Linked DNA regions of Sus scrofa. The main gene of each other region encodes a partner of the protein of the gene in region 2 in a complex. Links are inferred from orthologs where the notes say so. Each region holds a gene or a part of one and is shown on either strand. Other genes may lie near its edges.

The links.
Region 1: NSMCE3 (region 2) and NSMCE2 share a complex: the UniProt entries of both Homo sapiens proteins name them as parts of the SMC5-SMC6 complex. The link is inferred for Sus scrofa from reciprocal best matches to the Homo sapiens genes NSMCE3 and NSMCE2.
Region 3: NSMCE3 (region 2) and EID3 share a complex: the UniProt entries of both Homo sapiens proteins name them as parts of the SMC5-SMC6 complex. The link is inferred for Sus scrofa from reciprocal best matches to the Homo sapiens genes NSMCE3 and EID3.

Annotation. Positions count from the first base shown.
Region 1 is NC_010446.5:14,595,379-14,599,056, forward strand, and holds the start of NSMCE2 (E3 SUMO-protein ligase NSE2), read right to left. Parts: upstream 2,815-3,678; 5' UTR 2,686-2,814; exon of another isoform or gene 2,607-2,685; intron 1-2,606. UniProt on the Homo sapiens protein: E3 SUMO-protein ligase component of the SMC5-SMC6 complex, a complex involved in DNA double-strand break repair by homologous recombination. Is not be required for the stability of the complex.
Region 2 is NC_010443.5:144,471,129-144,474,780, forward strand, and holds the start of NSMCE3 (non-structural maintenance of chromosomes element 3 homolog), read right to left. Parts: upstream 2,899-3,652; 5' UTR 2,793-2,898; coding exon 1,956-2,792; 3' UTR 1-1,955. UniProt on the Homo sapiens protein: Component of the SMC5-SMC6 complex, a complex involved in repair of DNA double-strand breaks by homologous recombination. The complex may promote sister chromatid homologous recombination by recruiting the SMC1-SMC3 cohesin complex to double-strand breaks.
Region 3 is NC_010447.5:80,220,945-80,224,694, forward strand, and holds the end of EID3 (EP300-interacting inhibitor of differentiation 3), read right to left. Parts: 5' UTR 3,580-3,750; coding exon 2,482-3,579; 3' UTR 390-2,481; downstream 1-389. UniProt on the Homo sapiens protein: Tissue-specific component of the SMC5-SMC6 complex, a complex involved in repair of DNA double-strand breaks by homologous recombination.

The DNA.
Region 1 (3,678 bases), on a different chromosome or scaffold from region 2:
AGATAAGCACATCCCTCACAAAATTCCGATGTTTACCCTAACTCCCAGGTGATGATATATGGAGATGGGGCCTTTGGGAGATGATTAGATTTAAATGAGGTCATGACTTGGAGCCCTCGTGATGGGATTAGTGTCATTAGAAGAGGAAGAGATACCAGGGCTTGCTCTCTCTGCACCACGTAAAGATACAGCTCAGGTGGCCATCTGCAAACCAGGAAGAGAGCCCTCCAGTGTCCAGTCATCCCAGCATCATGATCTCGAACTTCCAGTCTCCAAAACTGTTAGAACTAAATTTCTGTTGCTTAAGCCACCAGTCTATGGTATTTTTTAACAGCAGCCTGAACTGACTAATACACAATGTATGAGGATTAATATAATCCAGGAAAAATGTAAAGTGTCTATGACGTGGTAGCCATCCTCATAATACGAATGCAAAATTCGCATTACTCCAATGAAACTTTACACTTGCAGAGAGGTAGGGAAAACTTCCTTCTGTAATTCTGAGGTATCAAGGGCAACATTCAGATCAAGAGGCAAAGAGAATGGCTGGAGAAGAAAAATAGAGTAAAGGCACTGTTCCCTATTTCTCCTGCTAACTACAGCTAAGGACATAATTTACAAGACAAATCTCACAACAAAGAATTATCTGGCCCGAAATGCCAATGGTGCAGTGGTGAAGAAACCCTGATTTAAACTCACCCCCTTCTGGAGCCTTCCCAAAATAACCGTGATTATTTTGTTCTCTGTCCCTCTGGTCTCAAAGAAAGTTTATTTATTCATTTATTTATTTATTTTGTCTTTTTGCCTTTTCTAGGCCACTCCCTCGGCATATGGAGGTTCCCAGGCTAGGGGTCCAATCGGAGCTGTAGCTGCCGGCGTACTCCAGAGCCACAGCAACTCGGGATCCAAGCCGAGTCTGCAACCTACACCGCAGCTCAGGCAACGCCAGATCCTTAACCCACTAAGCAAGGCCAGGGATCGAACCCGCAACCTCATGGTTCCTAGTCGGATTCGTTAAGCTCTGAGCCACAATGGGAATTCCTCAAAGAAAGTTTAAAGCAAGGTTATACACCCCCTGAGTTTTTCCCTAGCAGGTTATGTTGCCTACCCTAACAAGCCTTTGTCAGTTAGTGCTGTTTTAACAAAATACCACAGACACAGTAACTTATACACAATAGAAACATTTCTCAGTTCTGGAGAGTGGGTCCAAGGTCAAGGCACCAGCACAGTCACCCACAGACACAGTAACTTATACACAATAGAAACATTTCTCAGTTCTGGAGAGTGGGTCCAAGGTCAAAGCACCAGCACAGTCACGTTCTGATGAAGGCCCTCTTCCTGTGGTTCATGGCCAGGGCCTTCTAGTTCTAGCTCTGTGTTGTCAAATGGTAAAAGGCACAAGGGAGCAGCTCTCCAGGAGACCTCCATCCTCAAGATTTAAGCACTTCCCACATCCGCTCCCTCCTAATACCATCACCCTGGCATTCGGAATTCAACATATGGATGGGGCGGTGGGGAGTGGAGATAGGATAGAAACATTCATAAGATTCTCTCTAGATGGGGCCAATTATTAGGTAAAAATAAAAATATTTCTCTGTTCCCTCCTCTCATCTTTTTGTACAGAAAGTAATAAGCACAGATCAAATAATTTAAATACTGATACTCCTTTAAATTCTTAGGGGCCTACACAAGTTCCACCAGAGCTGTATCTTCTTTTTCAATACGCAAGGTTACATCTTTCTGAAGCCTTCTCTTATCCATACAAGCAACTGCTTGTTCTCTCCCTCATGCTACCACTATCCCTATCTCTCTCTCTCTTTCTCTCCCTCTCACACACAAACTTGTATTATAAAACTCACCACAATTATTTGCTCACATGTCTGCCACTCTTTCGCCCTGGAAGCAACTTAAAACTAGAATTCTGACATATTCTACTCAACATAAAACAGCTCCTCACACAAAAATAGGCAATCAAATAAAGATTTGGGAGAGTTACAGAATAAAAGAAACCGTCATTGCTGGGTCCCCTACAGTATGTTATAAACTGGTGCCCTAGGCTTTCTTCCATTCTCATTATCATTAATCCTACCACCGTTTATAGAAAAGGAAACTGATGCCCAGAGTTTAATTAAAGATCTTCCCAAGGCCCTGCTTAGAAAGCTAGCTCAAACTACATTTACTTCGATCAAGAATTCATGGTCTCACACTACTATATATAAAATAAACAACAAGGTCCTACTGTATAGCACAGGGAACTTTATTCAGTATCTCAATAACCTATAACCGAAAAATCTGAAAAAGTATATGCATAACTGACCACTTTGCTGTACACCAGAAACTAACGCCACACTGTAAATCACCTATACTTCAATAAAAATAAAAAAAGAATTCGTGATCTTTGCCCCTACGTACTGAGAACCCAAGGATGTAGAGACGGCGTCTTGGAGAGGGAGGTAAACGGCCCCTACCTCATTCCTGTGGCGTAAACAGATCTAGGACCATAACCCAGGTCCACAAACCACAGCTCAGGGCACCCGCGGAGCGCCCGAGAGGGAGACGACACCCCCCATCACCCTCCCCATCGCCATCCCCCGCTCCAGCCGTACCTGGCTCCCCGATGTACCTCTGCCTGGCTGCGCCCTGACTTCGCACCCCGAACCCCAACTCCTTCCTTAACTCCCTTACCCTGTCGCTGAAACAGCGAGCGCGGGCTCAGGCGTCATCAGTCGTCGACGGCGAGTGGTCACATGATGCCCCGCCCCACTCTCCGCCCCTTTGTCATGTGACTGCCCAGGGAGCCAGGGGCGGAAGCCGGGGTCCAGCCGGCTCTGGAGCCAGGGCGGGGGACTGAAGAGGACCCCTGCGGAGGCAAAGAGGTGGGGGCCGGGGTGCTGACTCCGCGCTAGACCGCCGGCCTTGCGCGTGCGCCCTGGAGCGGCCCGGGGGACAGGTGAGTCGGGGCGGGGTGCGCGCGCCTCCTCCTTTCACGTTCCCCGCCGCCCCGGGGCTGGGCCGCTCTGGCCAGGGGTGCTTCTGCGGCGTGGGGTGGGGTCTGGATGGGACAGCCTGGCCTGGAGGAATGAGGGTTTTACTGGGGCTGCGGCTGCGGCTGCGGCTGCAATCCAGGCTCTGCATCTCCACTCAGGTGGAAGCAATTTTTCACGCGCTTTGGCGCTTTAGAAAGTGATGTTCAGCTACTTGGCCAGCATCGTGTCCTTCCAAGTTCCTGGGAGCAGTGGTGTATGGACGTCGATATTTCTCCACTTACACTCAAGAAAATCGAGTGGTTGGTGCGGGCTTTTACAATCTGACGGACCTGGCTTTGAATTCTATTTCTGTCATGGACTGTGAGTTTGGGCAAATCATTGCTCCTCTTTTGCACCTTAATTCCCTTACCTATGACATATCAAAGTCCTTTTCATTTCGAGAAATAGTTCCGAAGGTCCTGATTTGTCTGTGGTCATTAACGAACTCCCCCGTTAACGGGAGCGACAGGCGCGGCGGCGGGGGCCGGGGGTTTAACCGAGCGGATAATGGATCCTTGTCTCCTGATTCCAAGTGTGTGGAACTTCCCTACACCATAGGTGAAACGGGGTTGGAGGCGAGGAGGGAGAGGCTTTACTGCCTCTGCCCACAACAAACACCTTATGGTTTTTCTTATTTATCGGGATTCATGAA
Region 2 (3,652 bases):
CCCAGGGCAGTTCTGGTGGGATGTCAGCTTCCCAGTACGGAGGAAAGGGCATCCCACACAGGAGGGTGTGGCAGCCAGAAGAGACTGGTTATTTACAGGCAATTGATCAAATAATTATTAGAAGGATTAAAGGATATGAATTTCTTACTGTTCGAGAAGTTAGGTACAGATAGAACAGTACAGATAGAACAAGGGAGAAAACCATAATAAACACTACGGTATAGAATGGATATGCTATTATCAATGTAATGTCATAGTTTTCAGTAGATGATAGCTAGATATACAAATAGACAAAAAGACTAACTTTGTCATGTAGAGGGCTAGAAGCAAGGATACTTCTAGAAGGCATGAGGAAACCTGGCAACCTTGTTTCTGAATTCGTTTCCATCCAAAAGGAATCAGAGCTCTTTGGAGAAAATGGCTGAGAGGTCTGTGGCAGGGAAAATTCAAGTTAAGGCTGAATGATCTTTTTGTGCCAGAAAGTATGGAATTGCTCAAAGAATGATGGGGGCAAGTAGAAGACACAAAAGCCAGCTTTAAAATGCTCCCAGTGGCAAACAGGGACAATTTGGGTATCAAAATAAATCGTGACAATAAAAGACTATAATGAATCTATACAGATAAAAGTGAATAAACTGAAATTTTGGTGAGGAATACAATATTTACAAAATCTCTGTCTCCACACAAGTTGCTTGTTTGTTACAAAGGGAAATGGAAAATTTCAAAGTGTAGAGGAATGGCAGAAACCACCTTAACCAAAGTGATCAAAGTTACAAAATAATAGGACAAATTGAAAACTAAATAGATAATGAAAGAAAACCTTCAAAATTTTTTTTTGTTGCTCCATACCAAGAATAAAAAACATATTTAAACAAACTTTTAAGGAACAGAGCAACAACTAAAATCCCCCACACCCAGCATTGTGCCAAGAACTTCACACATATTTCCATATCTAAGTATCACATCACACACAATACAGGCATCATCAACCCACTTTACAGGTGAGGAAAAATCTGTATACATCTTAAGTAACATGCCTAATTCATATAGCTAGTTATGCAGAAGTAGAATCTGAATCCAGATAGTTTGCTTCCCAGGTAGGCATGGTTAATCACTAATGGCTTTATCTTTTCTGTAACCCACTGAAAGAAATACATTTTACATCGTGATATGCACATACACAAATAAAACAATTTCCACAAAACACTATTTACCTTAATGCTATGTAGCAAAAAGTGTTTTTTGTTAAGATGCCTGTTTTCAGTCATGAAATTAATTTCTCGACTTATGGTTAAAAAAATGCACAATGCTGCTTCAAAACACAGTATTTATTGTAACTATAGTAGCCAAAAAAGGAAAAAAATAAATGTAACTAAAAGTCAGCCACACAACCTAGTAGTAATTATCGAGGTAAAGTTATTTGGGAAAAATACAGCATGTACATTACTTAGAATGATTCATAACGCTTACATACATAAAAAATACATTCTAAAAGTAGCTATGCTAAATTTAAAAAGGGATATAGGCAATTACATTTTATAGACTTTTATTGTTTCAATTTATAGACTTTTATTGTTCCTTTCAAAGTGGGGTCGTCAAGAGGCCAGGTAAGAGCCATTTCGTGCTTTTATTTCCTTGACATCAAAGCAACTTACTGACGTGTTCTTTCTTCAATATCTATTTCCAGATCATGGTACAAAGTTTTCCAATTAGCTTTAGAAAGCTAGCGAGATTTTTATACCAAAAAACACAGACAATAAATCAAAACAAATCGTCCGTTAATATTTTTATAGGTGAAAATTTGGAACCAAGGAACTTGCAATATAAGTCGGCAAACACATCCTAAAACTACGCACATTGAAGCTTTAGCAGAAAGATGCACACACACCACACACACACACACACACACACACGCCCCCCACCCCCCCCTGGAGTCCCTCTGAGTCTCTCAGATTTCAAGAAGAAGGGGCTGGGCCACCTGTTGGGGGTCTGGCCCTGGCCTCCTCCTCAGCCAGAGCCTCACAGTACTGAGCCGGCCAGTCCTTGGGGTCCTGATTGTGGACTTTGGCCACGAACTTGAGCACCTTCATCTTGCTGGTCTCCAGGTTGGTGCGTGGGCCCCACTGGAGCTCGTAGTCCACAGGATCAGTGTGGGGGATGCGCCGGTACTCCAGATACCTCTGCCGCACGAAGTCCTCGGTTATAAGCTTCTTGGGGTCCCCGAAGATCAGGTGCTTCTTGGTGGGGTGCACCCCGAGGCGCCGCAGAAAGTCCCAGACCTCCGTCTCCTTGATGCTGTTGCCTTTCATAAAGATGAGCCCCAGCACGATCATCAGCAACCCGGTGGTAGGTGTGCCCTGGTCGCCGCGCACCTCGGCGTCCTCCTCCACCGGCTCCAGCGTGTTGACCAGGATGTAGGTGTTGCTCCGGGGCTCCAGCTCTACCAGCCGGTACCCGAACACGTACTCCAGGCGCTCGGCTGCCAGCCGGAGCAGCTCCGGGAGGACGTCTTTATAGTCTCCGACCACGTGCTTCAGGATGTCGGTGCGCCGGATCGGGATCTTCCTCTGGTCCTTGATCAGCAGGAACTGCACGAGTTCGGCCACCTTCAGCTCCAGCTGCTTCTGCGACCGGGGCCCCGGCGCTGGGGAGGCCTCGGCCCGCCGGCCGCCCTGCGAGGAAGGCCCGCGGGACGTGCTCGGGACCTCCTCTGCGCCGCCGCCTCCTCCCCAGTCCCGCTCCCGTTCTGCCTGGGTGCCGGCGCGGCCGCGACTCTTCGGTTTTTGCGACATATCGCGGCGGCGGGCCCCGGACGGCGCGGACTCACAGTAACCGGCGGCTGCGAGATTGCGGGTAGGCGCGCAGCTGGTCCCGGCGGCCCGGGGCGGGGCCACGGGCGCGAGTTCCTCACGGAGGCTGCGCGCTGCGTCAAGAGGGCTGCGCGCTACGTCACGGAGTTCGCGCCACGTCTTGTGGGTAGGTCGGAGCAGTGGCCTTTTGGCAGTCAGGAAAGTGGGGTCTTTGCTCAGCCTTGGCGGTCCCTATGGCTTCTTTTATTATAATTAAGGATTGTCCTTACCAAGCCAAGCAGATAGAGAACAGGAAACAAAGCCCCTAACAGAGCGACTAGGACTACTGAGAGTAAGTATGACGAGTTCTCAAGTCGGAACTTGTTAGGTGAAGGAAACTCCGAAGGTGAATGTGGGAGAAAAACCGCGGAGAGCGTGAAAGGAAAGTGAAAGCATTTCTTTTCCATTCAAAACTAGATGTAAAAGGAATGAAAAACCATGAGGACTAGTTTGCTTTCACCAATCCCTCCTAACCGTTTCCCAAGAGTTACTTTCTCTAAAGCCTGTTTAAAACAGTCTCTTTAAAAACAAAGGTAACAACAGACTTGCCTTTTCACTATTTCAGTGTCGATATTGTGTACATATAAATACCATCAGCTGGACAACTTCGCGAAGCCGCCCCATAAATCACGTTTAATTGGAGTGTTTTTGCTTGGTCAAGGGAGTTTATCTTTTATAAAGCACATGCTCATGAAAATCGCCTTGGTCCCACAACCAGAATTTTAGCAGAAATGGGTGAGAGAAAGCTACCAACAAAGATATGCGCTCTCAAGAGGTTGCCGTTTAATTTTAGGCATCCTGAC
Region 3 (3,750 bases), on a different chromosome or scaffold from region 2:
TCCTTTTTTCTTCAAGGTAAGTAGTGGCTTAATTTCCAAGTGATGAGGCAATCCAGGTGTCATGACAACCAGTTAAAAACAGAAACAAGTGTTTAACTTAAATTCTATTTCTGGGGAGTTCCCGTCGTGGCGCAGTGGTTAACGAATCCAACTAGGAACCATGAGGTTGCGGGTTCGGTCCCTGCCCTTGCTCAGTGGGTTAACGATCCGGCGTTGCCATGAGCTGTGGTGTAGGTTGCAGACGCGGCTCGGATCCTGCGTTGCTGTGGCTCTGGTGTAGGCCAGTGGCTACAGCTCCAATTCGACCCCTAGCCTGGGAACCTCCATATGCCGCGGGAGCGGCCCAAGAAATAGCAAAAAAAAAAAAAAAAAAAAAAAAAAAAAAAATTCTATTTCTGCTGTAACTTTAGAGGAGACCCAAAGATGCCCTCCTTCACAAGCCTCCCCGTTCTCTGCTACGCAATGTGCTTTCAATCATCAAGTCGCAAACACTCCTGGTCAAGACACCTGGTGTTTAAAGAGTCATCCGGTGGTGAGCAGACCTGAGGCAAGATCTTTCTGCTCCCGTCGAGATCTTTCCCCCAAACAGCAAAGCTCTGGAAAACCTAAGGGGGCGGCTGGAAGACACACTAAAGGAAGAATCAGCCAGACGAAATGAGGCCTCCACAGCTGCTAGATCAAAGGGTGGTAGGTACTGGGAAGGGAGAGGACCCCTTCACATGAAAAAAGGGAAAGGAACGACTAGTTTAGAAAATAATAGGCCATGTCTCAGGAGAAATTCCTATGTTTGCTAAAACCCTCCACTAAGACTAAAGAACCTCTCAATCTCAATGTCATTCATTTAGCCTTTTGATTTCCCTTCCCTTACTACATGAGACGTGGCAGTAAAGTTTATCATTACTGCTAAACAAAGCAGATACTTACCCACTTACTAAATACGGTTTAATGGCAAGACCCACTACGACCCAAGATTAAGTTTCTAGAGATCAAGAAAAGCTTACAAGCATGCTCACAGCACCTTCAAAAATTGCTTTTTTTTTTTTTTTTTGGTCTTTTTTTTTGTCTTTTAGGGCTGCACCCATGGCATATGGAGGTTCTCAGGCTAGGGTCCAATCGAAACTGTAGCTACCAGCCTATGCCAGCCACAGCCACATCAGATCTGAGCCACTTCTGCGACCTACACCACAGCTCACGGCAACACCGGATCCTTAACTCACTGAGCGAGGTCAGGAATCGAACCCATGGATTCTAGTCGGCTTCGCTAACTGATGAGCCACGACGGGAACTCAAAAATTGTTTTCTTAAAGACCCAAATTTCTAACAGTAGCCTCCAAATAACAATGCAATTTATATTCTTAAAATAATTATAAGCAACAACATAAAGCCTTTTGACTTTATAAGAAGTGAAGAATATTTGGATAAATTAGTCATATATTTAAATTTAAACAAGGACAATTTCCAGGCATTTAAAGCCCTATTGAGAAATACAAAGTTGAAATGGTAACAAACATTTCAAGGCTGCAACATAATGAAACATCACTGATTCTGAGATACTAGCAGAATCACTGTGTACTAACATAAATTACAAGGGAAAAATGAGAAGCCAGAGAAGAATTTAAGTAGATAGAGATTGTAAATGGATGTTAAAATAGTTTGCGTGTGAAATAATCTGACAGAGATCTTCAACCTCTGAGGATATTAACAGATGAATGAAGTAAATCAATTTTTGCCCAATATAACATTCAAATGGAACAGTGTTCAGAAAAAGCTTATAAATCTTTCTGATACCGTAACATCTTACAATTCCATGTATTTGGCCTCCATATTTCCCTGCTAGAATACTTTTCCTATCTTTGACCAATTTCTACTCATCTCTCAGCACTTAGTTAATGCCTCACCTACTATAGTAGAGATATTCTACTTCCGCTGAGTCCAATCACAGGAGAAATTCTTTAGAATCTGGATATCCCTGCTAATTTGCTGAGTCCTCTTTGCAATGAGGCACGGCATCTGAATTTTTTTACAGTATTTATGCACTGCCCTACAGATAGTCTTTCCAGACCATTTTTTTTCACCCACTCTTTCCCTCAACCTGGTTAAGAGCCTATATGGAATTCCCTTGATTCCCTGTAGCAGAGGAAGCAATGCAGTATCACAGAGCCTCATAACTAAGTTTTTGCAATTGTCAAACACCTTTTAATTTAAAAAATTCAGAACTTCTCTTAATAAGGTCTTAAGGAACAGTCAAAAAAAAAAAAAAAAGTTTCCACAAACATGCTAGTGAATTTCTTTAGTTAGCAGAAAATCATGACAATTCTATAAATACCAAGAAAAACACATTGCACAGTACACAACTTCTGATGTTATTGATAATACTTTTTCACTTTACAAGAGATACAATGTGTGTTTTGTTTGGATTTTATTAGCCGTTTTGATATGCTTTAGAAAAGCCACAAAATACATTCTAAGAGCAAGTTATCTTCAGTATGAGTTTGTGATCATAGCCTCTGAAATTTCAAAAGTTGCCACAATATTTTTCCAGTCCTGTAAACTCAAAGATATAACCCCTTGTTTCCTGCCATGGGAACTGGGATCATTTCCCTCACCCACTTGGTTCATATTAATTGGCTCTAATATTGGCAGCCTGTCTTGGTCAAGCCTTATTCTTGCAAAACCATCCCTTATAATGAAAGAAACATAAAATATATTCTCCACAGTACGAGAAAAAGAATTTGGATCAATCACAAACTCAAAATAGGACACGGGAGTATCAGGATACTTTCTAAAGTATGTTTGCAACAATCCCAAGATTCTTTCTACTTCTTTTTCTGTCGCTTCTTGATTACTACTCAGGTCCAGCTTCCTCAGCTTTGTAGGCATGTCCCCATTTTCTTCCATCTTGTGAACTTTTTTCCGGTTTTCAAGTCGGGGCTTTCGAGAAGAAGGCTCTGATTTGAATGAACCAAAAATAAAGTGGAATGTTTCAGCTTGCAATATCCACGATGTTGCTTCCTTTTGCACTGTCTCCCAGAAGGAAAAAGCTATATTATCATCACAGTCATTCAATACATCACGTCCATCATCTTCCATCCAGTTTAGACCCACAAATATAAACAGAAAGTCACAAAATGCTACTTGATTAAAAAAGCTCATATCAGAGTTTAGCTGCTTTGCTTTTTCTTTACCCAAATCAGAAGCCAAAACAAGAAACTGCGCATCAAGCGCGGCTTCTCTTGTTCGACTCACTGCATCAAACAGGACATTGGCTTCCTCGAGAGCCTCGGTTAAGGAGTCGCTCGCCGTGTTCACTATGTCATCACGGTTCTGCTGGACGTTATAGATGAGCTGCCGGTACTGCTTGCGGATACTCCGGCATTTCTCCTCGTCCACAAGCTCCAGGAGGCTTGGGTCAATGTCGGCCTCCCCAAGGCTGAGGTCGTCAGAGAAGGCATCAGCCCCTGCCTCCCCCTCCTCCTCCTGCGCCTGCCTGCCAGAGTACGCACTGCGGGTGACGGTCACAACCGGCTCCTCTCCTTTCTCTCTGTCCCCCCACCTCAGGGAATCTCTTTCATCAGACATTTCGGGAACTGATGGCTCAGATGACGCCCCGGCAACGTTTAGGACAACGGCGGAAAATCGAAGGGGTCAGACAGAGCGGAGGAGGACGTCCGCCCATGCGCGCTAGGGACGGCCCAGAGGCCCCGCCCCCAGGTCGCCCCGCCTCCCAACAGCCCCCGCCCCGCGGAGCCC